Linked DNA regions of Caenorhabditis elegans. The protein of the gene in region 1 interacts with the protein of each later gene in a pairwise test. Each region holds a gene or a part of one and is shown on either strand. Other genes may lie near its edges.

Region 1 (8,555 bases):
AAATTCCTTCCAGCAAAGAAGTTGTGTCTCATTTCACAAACCCCGAAAGACAACTCCTCGTAGCATCTTTCGGTCTTTCTTCTCGGCGGGTTTTGCTCATTTCCAAACTAATTACTTGCACTGCATCAGTTGGAAAATCCCTCAACACCCATATTCCGGTGGCTTTTGGTAGGTGCTTTGTGATTAGGTTATGCTATTTGTAAGTCACACGAAATGACCTAATTTCGCTGGCTTTTTCTTTTCCTGTCCTTTTAATCTTCTTTTTCAACCATGGCTTTCCGAGGCTTCGTAACCGCATTGTGGCTTTATTGGGAATGAGAATTTTTGAAATTGTTGCTACGAGTTTCGGAGAACATCAGTACATCAGTACATCAATGAGTAGCAGAATGAAACAGGAACCCAAAAACCAACTCAAATAAAATATTATTTGAAAATTTGAAAAAAATGTACCAAGAGGTACCCTGAAAGTTGGGAATGTGTGGCCAATGTGATACGTCTTTGAATTTATTTTAAAATTCAGTTGCAGCTTCTTAACGAACTTTTTTCGAATTTTTACCATTTTTTTACAGCGGCTATTAATTGACATTTAATCAGTCATTCTTCATTGAACAAATTTTTTGGCATTAATTTTGCGTTGTTTCTCAGTTAAAGAAGGACTAACAGTTCGGACGATTTGAAATGTATAGACCCAAAACAAGCTTAAATGAACGATATTCGTGATTAAGCTTCTCAAAAAAAAATTTCGAAAAATTTTTATGGCGGTTCAAAATTTCGACAAAATTGCACTGATTTTAGCTGGAATCTCGAAATTTTTCCCACTTTTCTGTGTCGCATCAGTCCGATGTTGACTTTTTGCATATTCTGGTAGTTTATATTGTTCAATATCTCCAAATAAGGTACATTTAAAGCCGATAGCTTACAAATTTCAATGATTTTTGAAAAAAAAATGGGTGCAAAAATTTTGTGACTGTTTCACACATCAACCGAAAAATTATCTCCTAGCATGAAAGAGCATGATGAACCAGACAAATCTCGTCAGACCCATAATAGTCCAAAATTACCAAATATTTAAAAACTAATTATATAAGTTCCAAAGTTTTGGTAAACTGCCAAACTTTTGAACTGAAAGTACCATAAAGCTGCATTCAAATTTTTTCTACTTGCTATATTAATTTTTTTTAATTGAAAAATTTTGCTCTACAAATGTACTGAATTTTTTAAAAACCGTGTTTACTTGCAATTTTAAAGTTATCGGGTCTGACTTGAGTGCGTGTTAATAAAATTTGATAAACGAGTTTCAATATTAAACATTGTTTATTAATAAGGCTAGGCTACTCACCGAAAGCATTTCAAAAATGACAGAAAAAAACAACTGTTAATTGAAAAAAGGGAAATTTGAATAAAGCAAAAAAGCAAATACATCATATGTGCGTGTAACATCGCAATACCATAAAATTATGGAAAAGGAACTGAAAAAGAACAGATATGTATAAAACGTCTGACCATTAGCGATATAAACAATAATCAGTACATAATGTATGTGTTTTGAAAAAAGGATGACAATTGATGTTGAGGCTTGTTTAAGGATAAGAGATCAATCATCGAGTTTGTGAACTGTGTTAATGAAATTGAGGTAAGGAAAAATGTCAGTAGATAGAAAGGAATTTTTTACTAAATACAAAAAACCAAAGGTAACCAGCACAATTCTCATTGTCCTTATTACCTTTGAATACAAGAATTTCACACAAATTATGACACGCTCAAATTCAGTACTTTCTCCTCTTCATCATCAGCTTCCTCCATTTCCTCGCCCATCTCTGCTTTGATCGCGAGCAGCTCGGCGGGTAATCTAAAAAAAGCACAGTTTTATTTGATTGCACAATTTTGTTTGTGAACATGCCTAAACACGTTGAGAAATTCATCGGAAGAGTCGAGATACCCGTTGCTCGTCGGAGGTGTCATGTATCCTTTCGGGGAGAGATCCGATGAAATTTGAGAAGCAGACACTGCAATTGTTACGGTTGGTTTGATGGAAAAAGGGGGGGAGGGGGGTACTGTAGCATTTCAAAAGGAACAACCAACGAGAAAATGGTGTCCTTGATTGGCTGAAATTTGAGTGAAAAACGAACCGCATTCTTCGGGGTGGCCCGGATGGTGACTCTCGCGGTGCCGACGGCGGTCCACTTTGCGTTGGAACGTCCGACCACATACATCACAGGCAAATGGCTGAAGATAATGACCTCATTTTTAAAGAATAAGGAAAGGAGAACTGTTACCTTAAATCCAGTGTGTTTTCGTGTGTGGGTGATAAGGTTAGAAGACTGACTGAACGCTTTTCCACATACAGTACACTTGTGTGGTTTTTCACCTGAAAATAAAGTATGGGAAGTTTTAGATTAGACATTTTATTTTGTGTAATAAATTTTGGGCACGGGTGGCTAAGTGGTAGTGGTGTAGCACTGTCGCCCAAGAGGTCGCAAGTTCAATCCCACCACACCCCAAAAGCTCACCCAGCCGGCGTGGAAAGTGGGTAGTGAATTTGGTTCACGAAAGGTAAATCGGAGCATACTGCTAGTCCCGGTACGGCCTTAATTCAGACTAGAAGAGATATAAACGCAACCAGTAACCCTGATAAATCTCTGGGCCGCAGGAGGCTTCGGCTCACCCTTGAACCAAACGGACAACCTTTGTCTTTTTTTTTTAATTTTGTGTAATAAATTTTCAAACTATATTTAGAACTCAGCAGTCAAAATATAATTTTTTTTTGAAACCCTGTTTTAGGGGGAATTTGTATTTTATAAAATAAGTGAATTACTTTTCACTACAAACTTTCAATGCGTCCATGAAAAATATATGTTTTATTTTCAAAGGCAACGTTTAATTTATAGCAATTGTCTCAAATTGAACCTTAAAAAAATACAAATTTTGTTATTATTCTGTTGCACAGCAAAACCCCGTCTAGAGATGGAATCCCAAAGTTTTCATTGCTTCTTTTTCTTGTCAACTTCTGTAGATTGCTTTGCTTGTCAGCATACAAGATTTAATTTGTTTTTAATTTTCAAACGTCATTCAAAGAATCTTTTCTCTCCGCGCTTATCCAATACCCTACCCCTACCCCCCCCCCCCTACTTCCAACCTTTGACATCTCCCCTCAGAATTTTAATTTGAAGCAATTTTGCAATGTTCAAGCTGTGTTGAGCTCAGCGATGCTCCTCGCTGTGGTTTACTGCCTCTCGGGGAGTCTGTTAGTTGAGGATGGGGGGGAGGGGGATAGCAAAAACGCGATTTAATATTCAATTTTGATTTGTGTTGCGGAACGGTAGGGAGGAGGGGCACTGACATGACTCGACTCTTTCATACTGATTCATCAATCATACTTAGAGATGAGCAGGGCGCGCAGAAAAGAAGAGGAGGCTCATGTGCACACGCATCTGACAACTTTTCGATTCATAATAAACCAGAATAACGATTTCTCTTCTTTCAGAGTTGAATTTTCAATGAATCGTGTTAAGCGAAAATAAACGATGATTGCTTAAAACGAGTTGAAATTGTAATTGAAAAAGATATGGTGGTTCGCTTCAAAGACAAAATTTGAGTTAATTGAACTTATGAACTAGGGCTTTGAATCTTCTATAAAAAGCATGAAACCTTGCTGGAAACACTTATCAATATTTTTTAAGATAAACTGTCACATAAAGAAATAAGTGATGCCAAACTAGTAGGGAAAAATGGTAACTCAAAAAAAATTAAAAGAAAAGTCATAAAACCTTTTTTATTATTTTCTAAAAACTGGCTACATTGAATATTTATTCAAAAGCTTAAACGAACATATACATATAAAAAATAGGTTTGTCAGAAAATCCCACGTTTTTGAAGTACTCATGTATCATATTGCAAGCAAAATTTATATCGATTTTACGCCGTAGTGTCTCCTGCATCACAGCTAGTTTTATAATTTCAACATCCTAATGCGAGACCATGTCATAGAGGATTTTGTGTTTTTGAGCACAATGTACAATATAGGCAATTTAGTGGTTTGGGTGCAAAATACATACGTTCAGCGTGTTTGTAATTATTAAATTTTGTATTTCATTGGGAATAATTAATTTTAACCTAACTTTATGAGCAGAATTGCGTTATTATTTGCTGTTATAAATATTATCTTTATCGATAAATCTAGGATATCCTATCAATTTTACCAACATACCTGTATGAATATATGTGTGTTTTTTCATGTCCGACTTCTGATGAAATCTTTTTCCACAGTATTCACATGGATACGGCCTTGTGTCGGAGTGAATCAGAAGGTGTGTAGATAAGGTGGAAGATCTGAAATTGAAATTTACTTTTTTTTAAATTATGTTTTCATGATAATTAAAGTGCATACCTTTTGAAGGTTTTTCCACACTGCTTGCACTCAAATTGCTTATCGCTGACGTGTACTTGTTGGTGTTGCTGAAAAGTTTTAAATTTTTGAAAATTATTTTAAAAATACTGGTTTCACCTCTAGAGCAGCTATGGTAGAAAATAATTTTGTGCATTTTTGGCAATGAAACGGTTTGATTTCCACTGGAGGTGTCGGTGTTCGATTCCAAACTGAAGCTTAAAATACATATTAATGTGAATAGATAAATGTTCAAAAAGCTTGATACCTGATGGTGATTCAGGGTTCTGAGGGATGATACCCATTGCCATACTCCTCAGGTATTGCTGCCAGAACATGGGAGCGTTGAGAAATCCGAATGGAAAATTTCCAAGAATATTTACAGGAGGAGGACGGGGCATTGCTGAAATGAAACTTGATAGTTGGAAACTCGGAGGTTCTAGCATACTTTGCTGCATCATGAGGAGCTTTTGTTGTAGTGATATGGTAGCGGCCATTCTCTGCCAAGAACTCATCACATCTTCTGTGATCATGAACTCATTTCTATCTTCAATTGATTCTGAAAATGTCGTTATTTTTGAATTAAAATAGATTTATGCACAAACCTGTTGGTGAAACACTAGACTTTTCCACGTTCGAGAGTAACGATTCAACAGAATAGACATTTGACACGTGCTCAGTGCTCATCTTCGTCTCAACACACAAAAAATGAATAAGGGAGTAGGACGAGGACGAATCTCTGGAAACGCGTGCCTTGAATAAAAATTTTTGAAATCTTGAAATTCGAATTTGGCACCCTGTTCGCTGAGCCACTGAAAAAAAAGAAACGAAAATCTTTGTGATTTCTAGAGAATTGGATTAAATGAGACAAGAACAGCGGATGGGAAAACAAGAAGATGAAGACGTCAAATCAAGGGTCCATAGGGATTTCTGAGGATTTAGAAAAAGACGAAATCAAGGCCAATTAGGAACTTTGGAATGGATTAAAGATTTGAAACTGGAAAGTTAGCAGGAAGTGAAAACGAGTTGAATCTTTCTTTTTTTTTTCAAAGCCATTGTCATTTGTGCTCGGCGTAGTGTGAAAATAAGCATATAAATAATAAATATGAACATCAAACTGCATCACATCCCTATAAGCAGAGGGTAAATGGGGGGATGGCTTTGGATGTCCGAGCTGTGACGATTTGAAACTCGAGCTGGTCTACATTCAAAAACCCAACTGTGGAAGAATCTGAATGCATCTCAGCACTGATCCGTCCTCCTCCTCTTCATTTCGACCATGTTGCCCTGCCTCCTATTTTTCCCCTCAGATGCATGTTATTGGATCGCCCCGCCCCAGCAGGCAAAGTGTGCGGCGAGCTCTCGGTTAGCATATTTGTAGACGAGTCGAAAAAAGGGGAAGAGAAGCGTTGGAAAAAGAGCAGAAAGAATCCTTGAGGTCAGGTTTTATGCTCAATCTATTATGCTTGTTTTAATAATCTCATACGATTTACGATGTAGTTCAAGCATGAACTCAAAGTGACATAATCGGAGGCGCGCTGGTGAGTGTGAGCAACACTTTGCTCTTCTTGTCCAGCAAAGGGCATGTAAGGGACATTAATGGAATTTTTAAGAGCGTGAAGCGCAAGAATCTCACTGCCAGAATGCGAAAGTAGGAAATCTGCAAAAAAGAGGAAACGTCGAAAAACTGTTTCATCGAAAATTCATAGAGCTAAAAATCCCACGATTTCTTAGTACAAGGAACTCGAGCTTCAAGAAATAGAGAGCTTTTAGTTGGAAATAATAGAAGTTGATAACTTGAAGCAGGTCGTACAATGTGAAAATTTTACAGTATTTTCACAGTAGTTTAAATATCTCAGAAACTTCTGCAAAACTTGCAGAATTCTAACAAGATCAGTTGTAAATAAATTCACTTTCTGGAGTTGGATTTGGCAGTGCCTGTCAAAAATCTAGTGTCTGCTGCTAATTCGTATTCATTCCCCGTACCGTAATTAGTATTCATGTGCACTATGCGAGCTTGCGCACTCTTCAACATGTGGGAAGACAATCCATTGGAATTTCAATTTCTCGAATCGCATTTCAATCTTTTGGGTTGGCTTCAAAATGGTATACCCATTTCCGAGCTCTTTTCTCCACACTCAACCTTCCATCGCTCCTCCGGTGCTATGCATTTTTAAACGACTTCCCACAGTGATGGCGGGGGGTTCCAGGGATGGAGGAAGAGGGGGGGGGGGGGAAGAGCGAGAAGATTGAAATAAATTGAGTGTCATCCTAATGCATGAATTTGAGTTGGGTGGGCTCACTGTGTGATGGAAACGACGTGTCGAACAACACCCAGCCAAAATAGCGATATGGGTGTTGAATTGAATGCATACGGTCTTTTGATTTATGGAATTGTTTTTCGTGTTGGGTTAATTAGAAAAGAAGAAGTCCGTGAAAAATGGAAAAAAGTCTAAGAAATAGTTAGGTTTATGAGCATTTGGGGAGCTATCTTAGGTCAAGTTTTGGATGTTTTACAAAAATGTTAACATTTTTAAAACTAAATCCATATAGAGCTAGCCCATACATTCAATGTTTGTGGTCCACTGTTTGTTGGTTTTATAAATGCTCATTTTGTATTTCTAATGATCAAGTGTACACGAATATTTCCTCCGGTTGAAAATGCTCCTTAATAAGTCGAAAATGCAGTAGGTGCCGATTTTGGCATCCCCCTCCCCCCCCCCCCCCCCCACACACGTATATTCCCAAGCGGCTTCCCGTCTGCAATCGGTATGCATGACGAGAGGTGATTGGATTCGGAATCGCGTTTTGGGACGCGCACACACACGGGCGTAGATATTTGTCAAGAAATTTGTTTTGGCTTCTATTTGAGACGTGTGAATTTTCAGAATTGGTAATAGCCTTCTTCTTCTTCTCACCCACCAACCACACTCACCCAGGGTTTTGGATGACACTGATCCGAAATTCAGTGTACCTGAGAAAACTGGGAAACTATCAAATATCATAAATGTGCTGTGAGAAAAATTGGGATTCTAGAATACGAAACTTCAAAACGAAAGGAAGCATGAGGGAACAGAAACCGCGCCAAATTTGGAAATGCCCACTAATAAAACAAAAGTCAATTGTTTGCTCATTACTTTGATTGCGCGCTAAGCTAAGCACCTTGCGGCCAGGTTGAGTATGTAATATGAATCCTGAACGCTGAAAACTCTCAATTCCCTCCCATTCTGCCTACTTCATCTCCACTTTTGATTCTATTGGCTCAAAGCAATGAAAATGAAAAATATGGAGAAGATGAAGCCGGCTGACCAACCATCTCACCACTTTTATGATTTTTCAATTCAGAAATTTATCTATCCCCGGCTCTCCATATTACGCTGACTAGTAGCAAAAAGTGGCCTTCTTTTGCCTTCTCGCATGGAATATCTACCGTAGTCCCCCGGTACATATGGCGGCAGCTCCAGAGACTCAGAGAGGCGTAATTGGGAGGAAAAGCTATGCAGGAGAGGAAGAGTGAGCATCCTATCGTCAACCATTTTATGACGCAATCTAGCTGCCTGGATAGGATAACAGAGCAATTGTCCGGTTGGAGCAGTGCTCGGACGTTATCGGTTAGGTGTGTCTTACTCGTTTCAGGGATTCAACGGAAATTGCAGAAAGTTTTTTTTTGCAAATCAGTAATTAAATAAAACCTGCTCGGTAAGCTCCTAAAATTAAAGTTGAGAACTTAATCTGAAAAGAGTAATTTTTTTTTTGGTTTGCCTTTTCAAAAGTTTCAAAAATTTGTAATTTTAAAATCATTAAACATGTATCAATTTGATAACTTACGCATAACTTTTAAACTATAAAGTTTACCATAATTTTATGCATTCAAAAAAAAACACTATTATCGCAATGTTTAGCCCGCCGTGGTTTCTTATTCACACTATGTTTGCGCTACCGATCACTGGTAAATCTACAAAACCGTATATTCCAATAAATTAAACTGTCTGTCAGGATCAAAAAATTGAAGTAAAAATTTGGAAGATTTTTATTAATTGGGAAACAACATTATTTTCATTATAAATTTTGGAAAAAAACCTATTGACAGTCGAGGGGCAGGATAGCTCAGTCGGTAGTGGTGGCCGCTAGCAATCTGGAGGTCACGAGTTCAAGTCTGGCCTCATCCCCT
Region 2 (8,019 bases), on another chromosome or scaffold:
TTTCGGAACATTTTTCAAGCGAAATTGCTGGATTTTCACCTCAAAAATTGTTAATTACATAGAAATTTGGAAAAAAGCTGAAAATTGTGATTTTTTTCCAAAAAAAATCCGGTTTTTCTTCTTTTTTTGAGCATTTTGAGCTCATTTTTATCAAATTTTAATTGAACATTTTCGAATTTTCAGTCTGAAAAATCAGTTAAATGCTCTTAAAATCGTAATTTCAGCTATTTTGAGGGCATTTTTAAACAAAAATTTCTGGATTATACAGAGAAAGTAGGGAAATTCTTGGGTTTTTAAGCTAAAATGCCTGATTTTTCATCAAAATTCCTGATTTTCGACGGAAAATTCGGAGTTACCAATCAATTTTACCGATTTCGGAATATTTTTCAAGCGAAATTGCTGGATTTTCACCTCAAAAATTGTGAAAAATGCATAGAAACGTTGGAAGACAGCTGAAAATTGTAATTTTTCGCTAAAATTTAAGTTTTTCTGCTTTTTTGGAGCATTTTGAGCTCACTTTTATGAAGTTTTATTGAAAATTTTCGATTTTTCAGTCTGAAAATCGGTTAAATGCTTTCAAAATCCCATTTTCAGATTTTTTTGGACATTTTTTTAAACAAATTTAGTGGATTTTCAGCTAAGAGAGAAATTCTTGGGTTTTTAAGCTAAAATGGCCGATTTTTCAGCAAAATTCCTGATTTTCGACGGAAAATTACGAACTGTGATCAATTTTAGCGGTTTCGGAGCAATTTTAAAGCAAATTTCCTGGATTTTCATCGGTTTTCTACTCAAAATTCCCGATTTTTAGCTAAAAATCTGCAAAATCCGTACAAATAATTGGCGCCAGTACATTTGCCAAATTGAGCAAAGCATCCGGCAGCTCAAATGGTGAAACTGCATTGGATTTCGATGAGCTCACAACTCCAAATTCGAATGGGCTCACGTCGGGATTCTGAAATTTATGGAATTTTAGGCTTTTTTACGTGGAAAAATTGCAAAAACCTGCACAAAAACTCGTTTCAAATCACTTTTTCCCTCGATTTTCTCATTTTCGAATCGGATTTCCAGGGTGGAAGGATCCACGTGTCGTTCTCGATTTATATCGTAAATCTGAAAGAAAAAAAAAATATTTTTTCGAAGTTTTTTAGAGTTTTCAGCGAATTTTCAAGCTTTTAAATGAAATAATTACGAGATTTCGTGCATTTTTTCCAGATTTTCACTGAAAAAACTGCAAATTTCGTCAATTTTCAGTATTTTTTCTGAAAAAAAACTAGATGCCAGTGAATTTTCAGCTTTTTTACAATAAAATTGCCATTTTTAACAGGTTTCGGTCAAAATTTTGTGGTTTTTAGTAATTTTTTGGAGTTTTCAACTGAAAATTGCAATTTAAAAAATGTATTTTTCGGATTTTCAGCCAACTTCTAAGATTTTTACTGAAAAATATCAATTTTCTGGGAAATCGCTGAGTTTTCAGCTTTTTTAACCACAAAATTTGAATTTTTCACTAGTTTTCAGTCGAAAATTTGTGTTTTAAACAGAAAGTTCAAGTTTAAAAATTTATTTTTCGGATTTTCAGTCAACTTCCAAGATTTTTACCGAAAGATACAGAATTTAATCCATTTTTTAAGTTTTTTCAGCGCAAAATTGCAATTTTGCTCTGATTCTTGCTGCAAAATCGGATTTTTTATCGATTTTTCTTCATTTTTTTCTGGTTTTTTTGTGTTTTCCAGGACCACACATAAAAATGCAGTTTAAAATCGATTTTCTCGAATTTCTAGTGAATTTTTCGCAATTTCCAGGCAAAAAACTACGAACATTGATGAAATTGAGAATTGTATCGATTAATCCCGGCTTATTCCACGCCAGACGCTTCGAACTGCCCAGATAATTGATAAAACAGGGGAAGAGATCGGCATGATTCCGGCAAAGGCTCGGATATCGATCGAGAAGCACCGAAAGTGTGCTCAGTGCGAGGTGGCGGACTCTGAAAATTCAAAATTTCCCATTTTTCAGAAAAAATCCACTCACTCTGTGACGATATTCGTTAGAGCGCGGAGCACGTGGGACAGGAAAAGTGTGATATGAGCCGACATTGCTTGAATTGAAGCTGTACACAGAATTTTGTAGAGATTCAGTAGATTCTGACGTGTGGAGGGCTCGAAAGAAGCGTCAGCCACGTGCACAGCCACGCAGGGAACCAAAAGCCTCAACTGGACGTTGACAAGATCCGGGCGAGACGTTAAAATCTGTTTTAGTCCTTGAATAGCGTTCATTTTCACTTTCTGAACGAGAATTTATTAATTTTGATCGATATTCAGCGAAAAATTACCGCATTAAAGTGCCCCATCTGCTTGCAGAGCTCATCGAGCGTTAGACCACGGAAACTAAGTGGATTATCATCTGTTTCCACTTTTTCCTCCAACTGAGTCGCCAATACTACTCGTTTTGCTGAAAAAATGAATTAAAATTCGCGAAAATCGGGTGAAAACTCACCTTTGATAGTCGTGTCGGTGGTCGTCGTTTTTTTCAGCTTTTTTCCCACCTTCAGCTTGACTTTTTTGAAATCTTCGTTTTTCCGTGCCTTCTTTTTGGTCACCATCTGCAAAAAATGTTAATTTTCGCGTGTTTCTTGAGAGAATAACAAGAAAAATGCGAAAATGGCAAAGGAAAAAAAAAGAGAGGAGAGACCACGCCTCGGTGAAGTGCAAGTTTCATAGATATTGATTCGAGAGAAAATTATTCCCATAAATAGAAACATCACGCCCAATTTTTAATATTTTCTTTTATTCAGAGTTAAAATAAATTGAAAACCAAATTGTTAAAATTTTTCCCACTATGCTCAAATCAGATCCTTACAATAATTTATAATTATCCTGCGTTCCCGTTTCTGCACACTCATTTATCTCATAATACAGCAACGTCTCCAAAGCAAAAGCGCTCTACTGCGCATAGGAAAAAGGCGCGAATCGAGTGATTTGAATAATTTCGCGGTGTTTTACCGCATTTTATCTTCTTTTTTCTCATTTTTAAACGACGTTTTACTCTTATAAATATTTTTCACGTATTATAGTTTCATATATCTTTCACACATTCGTCCTCCTAAAAAATTTAGTGATTCTGAAGGCTCGTAATTTATATGGCATGAATGTTCTGAAATATTCCTAATTTTTTGAACTTTCAGATTTTTATTTTTGAACATAAAATGGCTCACACTTTTGCGTGCCCACGTGGAGATTGTGGACTTTTTTCGCTTTCCAAACTGTAAGTCAAACATTGTATTGCATAATCACCGGTTTTTGTTTCAGGGACGATCATCTCACTGCGGATCATCATCTGGAACACATGTGTTCAGAGTGCGAAGAGAGCTTTGGCTCTGCAGAAGAGGCCAAAGAGCATACTCTTTTAGCTCACGAAAATGCTCAAACATTCGATGATCCAAAAATTAGAAATACTAGGTATTGTTGTTATCTCAGAGCTAAAATAAATATAATATTTCAGAATTGTAGATTCCATAATTGCAGCAGTGAGAGTATCCGGTGATGTGATTGAAGAATTCAATTCAGTGATCATGCGAGCGGTTATTCGTCATTGGGGAAACACGAGCACGGAAAAGCTGGTAAGGAGCAGATGATAATTTTATTTTATCTGAGAATGCGTTTTGCGCAAAATATCTTGTATCGAAAACTACAGTAACTTTTTCAAAGACTACTGTATCACTAGCGGCGACTTACGGAAATCATTCGATAAAAATTAAAAGAAATCACAAAAATGACAACAACTTGAATTTCGCTGTCACAATTTGATCAGAAAATTACAAATAGCAAGCCAATACATCGACGCCAGTTCTACAGTAGGCAGTTCAGGTTTTTTATACAGTTAAGTATTATATTAAAAGTAAAATATTAAAACTGTCACCTTAAATTTGAATCCAGCCAAGCCCGCGAAAAACTCCGCTCGATTTCGGATGCCGAAAATTGGCTCGAATCGAGAGATATTCGGGAGATGCTGGAATCAAATAAGACCTACTTTCTTTTAGATTTCCGCCGATCACCACAAAAATGAAAAGAGTGGGTAATATATCGCGGCCGACAACCCACGGGTTCCGCGCCTCGCTATAAATTAAGTAAATTAAGCCACGCCCTTCAAAAGCACACCAACTGATAGGGTGTGGCTTAATTGACTTAATTTAGAGCGAGGCGCGGAACCCGTGGGTTGTCGGCCGCCATGTATTACCCACTCTTTTCATTTTTGTGGTGATCGGCGGAAATCTAAAAGAAAGTAGGTCTTATTTGATTCCAGCATCTCCCGAATATCTCTCGATTCGAGCCAATTTTTGGCATCCGAAATCGAGAGGGAATTTTTCACGGGCTTGGCTAAATTCAAATTTGATGTGACAGTTTTAAAATTTTGATACTCTTTTTAACGAAAAATTATTCGATTTCAGATTGCTGTCGTTGATTCTCCAATGATTACTCGTGACTTCTATATCGACTGTTTTGAAGCTTTAAAGATGGTAGACTATTCATTTGTATTTAAACAATGAAATAAAATTCGAAATTTGCAGAGATACGATTCTGGAGAGAAGTCCATCGATCTTCTCTGTCGTTTGGCAAAATTGTGTACAAAAATTGGAAATTTTGTTGAGAAGGAAAAGAGAAAGGACATCATAATCAAAGGAAAGATGTACGCTACCGAAGCCTGGAACACCGATTCGTACAACATCTTGGCTGCTCATTGGGCCGCTGTGATGTCAGGAAAGGCAATCGAATATCTTGAAGGCGATGAAAAGAATCTGGAGATGAGACACTGCAGACAATATCTCGATCGTGCCATCTCTATCCAGGCAGGAAAAAATGCAATGTACAATAATATTCTTGGCCGTTGGGCTCTTTCAGCACTGGAGATTTGGGAGTCTGACCGACAACAGTTAATTCATCATTATGCCACCCCATATGACGCTATCGACGATGCCATTTATCAGTTCAGATCCGCTTTCGATCTCATACCGTATTGGATCGATAATATTGTACACCTGGGCAAAGCGCTTCTTTACAATGAAAACAAAGAAGCCGCCATTGGAATGTTTCAGCTCGCACTCAAAATGGACCCGTCGAACGATATCGAGAAAGAGTTGCTCGCCGACGCCCTTGACTTGTGCTCAATTTGATCCTTCTTTTATTTCCATTTTATTTTCTGTGTCTCATTTTTCCGTTTGCACTTTCCTCCGTTTTTTTATTGTAAAAATTCCGTAAAAATCGGCCCAAAATTCCCATTTTCAGGGGATTCTTGGAGCCCAACTTCTTTTTTTAAAAATTTGGATTTTTAAATTTTTCCCCGATTTTCTATAGGAAATTCCAAAACATTTACTGAAAAATAGAAAAAAAAATGGCCAGATTTCTCGAAAAAATTAAAATTTTTGGAATTTTTCTGATTTTTAGCTAATTTTTTGAAAAAACTGGCTCAAAAATTTTTTTTTGGTATTTTTTAAAGAATTTTTATTTTTAGAAAATCCGTGAAAATTGAGGGAAATTGAGCCAGAAATTTGGTATTTTGGAGCCCAAAATCTGTTAATTTTTATTTTTAAATTTCCACGAATTTTAAGCTAATTTTCTGAAGAAGTTGGCTCAAAATTTCGGTTTTTTGGAATTTATTTTTTTCCTGAATTCCTAGAATTTATAGTGTAGTTGATCCGGAAATTCTATTTTTCTCAAATAATTGAAAATTTTTACTTTCAGAAAATCCCTGAAAATTGAGTGAAATTGAGCTCAAAATTCATATTCTTCTCAAAAAATTGATTTTTCTGTTGAAACTTCCTTGAGAAAATTTCTAGAAGAAGCTGGCTCAAAATTTCGAATTTTTGGAAAGTTTTTGGAATTTTCATAATCAAGTTTTTTTCGAAAAAATTGAAATTCCGCCGAGTTTAAGCTAATTTTTAGAATTTTTCTCAGTTAACGGTTCTTTTCTAGTGAAAAATTCCAAAATTTAGAAATTTAAAAATCCCTTTTCCCCTTATAAATTGCCCCAAACATTTCCGCTTCAACCAATTTTTCAACATTTTTATTCTATATTTAACGGCTATACAAAAAAATCGATAATTTCTCAGGTTTTCACCTCTATTTCCTATCTTGTTCACACGCCTCGGTCCCAAAATTTAATAGATTTTCAGGCCAAAAAAACCAATGGGGTTTTTACAAATTCTTCAAGAATGTCGAGCCGAAGGACTATGGCCAATTGGGCCATCTTGTAATAAGGTGCTGTGAAAAATTTGGAAAAAAATTATTATACATTCGTCGAAAAATTTCATCTCAGTTTAAAGGCGCACACATTTTTTGTACTTTGGGTCTCACCACGATTTCGACTTTTTGAAGCTTAAAATCACTAAAAATTACGTGGATCGTGGCAGGACAAAAAAGTGTTATTATACATTCGCCAAAAAATGCCAGCTGATGAAAGGTGCATGTTTTTTGCAAAAATTGCAAAAAATTACCAATCGAAAAAAAAAACTCATATTTTTCCGATGGGTCTCGCCACGATCTGCGTCTTTTGGATCCTAAAAGAACCCAAAATTATGTGAATCGTGGCGGGACCCAGAAGTGTATGCGCCTTTAAAATAGGAGAGTATATTTTTGAGAATGTGTAATAATTTATTTTTTTGCTTTGAAGAAACTTTTTATCATTTTATGATAATAATAATTTTATTATACATACGTCGAAAAAATGTCATGGCAATTACCTTTAGGTCTCGCCACGATCTACGTCTTTTGGATCCTAGAAGCGTCCAAAATCACGCAATTCGTGACGAGACCCAACAGTGTATGCGTCTTTAAAATAAGCTTGCATAATTGTGGGAATGTATAATAATTTATTATTGTATTTTTTCAATTATTTATTACAAAAAAATGTATCAAAAAATTTTATACAAATCAACAAAAAAAACAAAAACAATTTTTTTCGTGTACTCCACACGGACAACAAACTGTAGTTTTACAACTAAAACGCGCCGTAAATCTACACAAAATCTCTCCGACCCAAAATGGCCTAATTCGGCAAACTCTGCCATTTCGATTCATGAGGGAAGCCAGAATTCCGTGTTTTAACCGAAAATTCCAGAGTCTATCAAAAAATTCCAATTTCACCTTTCTACCGTAGTCCAGCGCGGGAATTCAAAATTCTCACGTTCCACCGGTCTCCCTTATCAATATATATATCATCCTCACGGGGTTCTGGCTCGACCCCCCTCTCGAAAATTTTGGAAAATGGCGGGAAAAAATATTTGATCTCGCAAGAGGAATTTTCACGCAGCGCGTTGAAAAAGTGTATGCATTTGCGCGTGACGGTGTTTGCACAAAATACACCGAGGGGTCGAGCCAGAACCCCGTGCATCCTCCCAATCACTTTCACTGGTTACTTTTTCATTTTACCTTTTTTTTTACGAATTTCCGTTCGCGAAACCAAAAAAAAAATTCCAAAAAAAAGACCGGTGGCTATAATTACAGTACTGCTATTTTCGCATCGCCAAGGGGGTTAGATCAGGGGTGCGCGGCAATTGCCGTACGGCAATCGAATTGTCGGCAATTTCGGCAATTGCCGAAATTGCCGATTGCCGAAAATTTTGAAAACCGGCAATTGTCGAAATTGCCGATTGCCGGAAATTTTCGATTGCCGCGCACCCCTGGGTTAGATGTTCTTCTCTCCTATGTGTGTATATGTGCTATCAGTCGAGTACTGAAAATTGTGCATGATTTTTCAAAAAAAAAAAACCACCCAAGTCTTGACTCCTTTTTTTTCGCTGTTTTTTTCTGGAAAACTCAAAATATTTGTTCTCTATTTTTCAATAATTTTGAAAAATAAACCTTTAAATTGGCTCTCGCCACGATTTTAGCGGGTCTTTTTTTTCAAATTTTCAAATTATATATTTTTTTATTTAACAATTCCAATTTTTACCGATTTTCATTGAAAATTGGCACGGGTTTCTAATTTCCCCCCTGTTTTCAAATGGAAGAGGTGGCCGTGAAAAAA

What was found.
Region 2: the proteins of pag-3 (region 1) and sup-35 interact in a two-hybrid assay, tested with the Caenorhabditis elegans proteins (one large-scale study listed by BioGRID).

The regions. Positions count from the first base shown.
Region 1 is NC_003284.9:14,949,451-14,958,005, forward strand, and holds pag-3 (Zinc finger protein GFI1 homolog pag-3), read right to left. Parts: upstream 5,199-8,555; 5' UTR 5,072-5,198; coding exon 4,990-5,071; intron 4,944-4,989; coding exon 4,833-4,943; intron 4,788-4,832; coding exon 4,653-4,787; intron 4,603-4,652; coding exon 4,505-4,602; intron 4,456-4,504; coding exon 4,388-4,455; intron 4,330-4,387; coding exon 4,208-4,329; intron 2,611-4,207; exon of another isoform or gene 2,461-2,610; intron 2,369-2,460; coding exon 2,277-2,368; intron 2,227-2,276; coding exon 2,130-2,226; intron 2,007-2,129; coding exon 1,901-2,006; intron 1,850-1,900; coding exon 1,750-1,849; 3' UTR 1,302-1,749; downstream 1-1,301. UniProt on the Caenorhabditis elegans protein: Transcription factor. Plays a role in the determination of neuroblast cell fate and neuronal differentiation.
Region 2 is NC_003281.10:11,114,383-11,122,401, reverse strand, and holds sup-35 (Regulator of microtubule dynamics protein 1), read left to right. Parts: upstream 1-3,175; 5' UTR 3,176-3,202; coding exon 3,203-3,261; intron 3,262-3,305; coding exon 3,306-3,455; intron 3,456-3,498; coding exon 3,499-3,616; intron 3,617-3,917; exon of another isoform or gene 3,918-4,041; intron 4,042-4,444; coding exon 4,445-4,513; intron 4,514-4,564; coding exon 4,565-5,167; 3' UTR 5,168-6,179; coding exon of another isoform or gene 6,180-6,251; 3' UTR 6,252-6,648; downstream 6,649-8,019. Other genes in the region: Y48A6C.4 (Pre-rRNA-processing protein Ipi1 N-terminal domain-containing protein), read right to left, coding at 832-952, 1,003-1,110, 1,816-1,984, 2,029-2,282, 2,330-2,448, 2,494-2,599.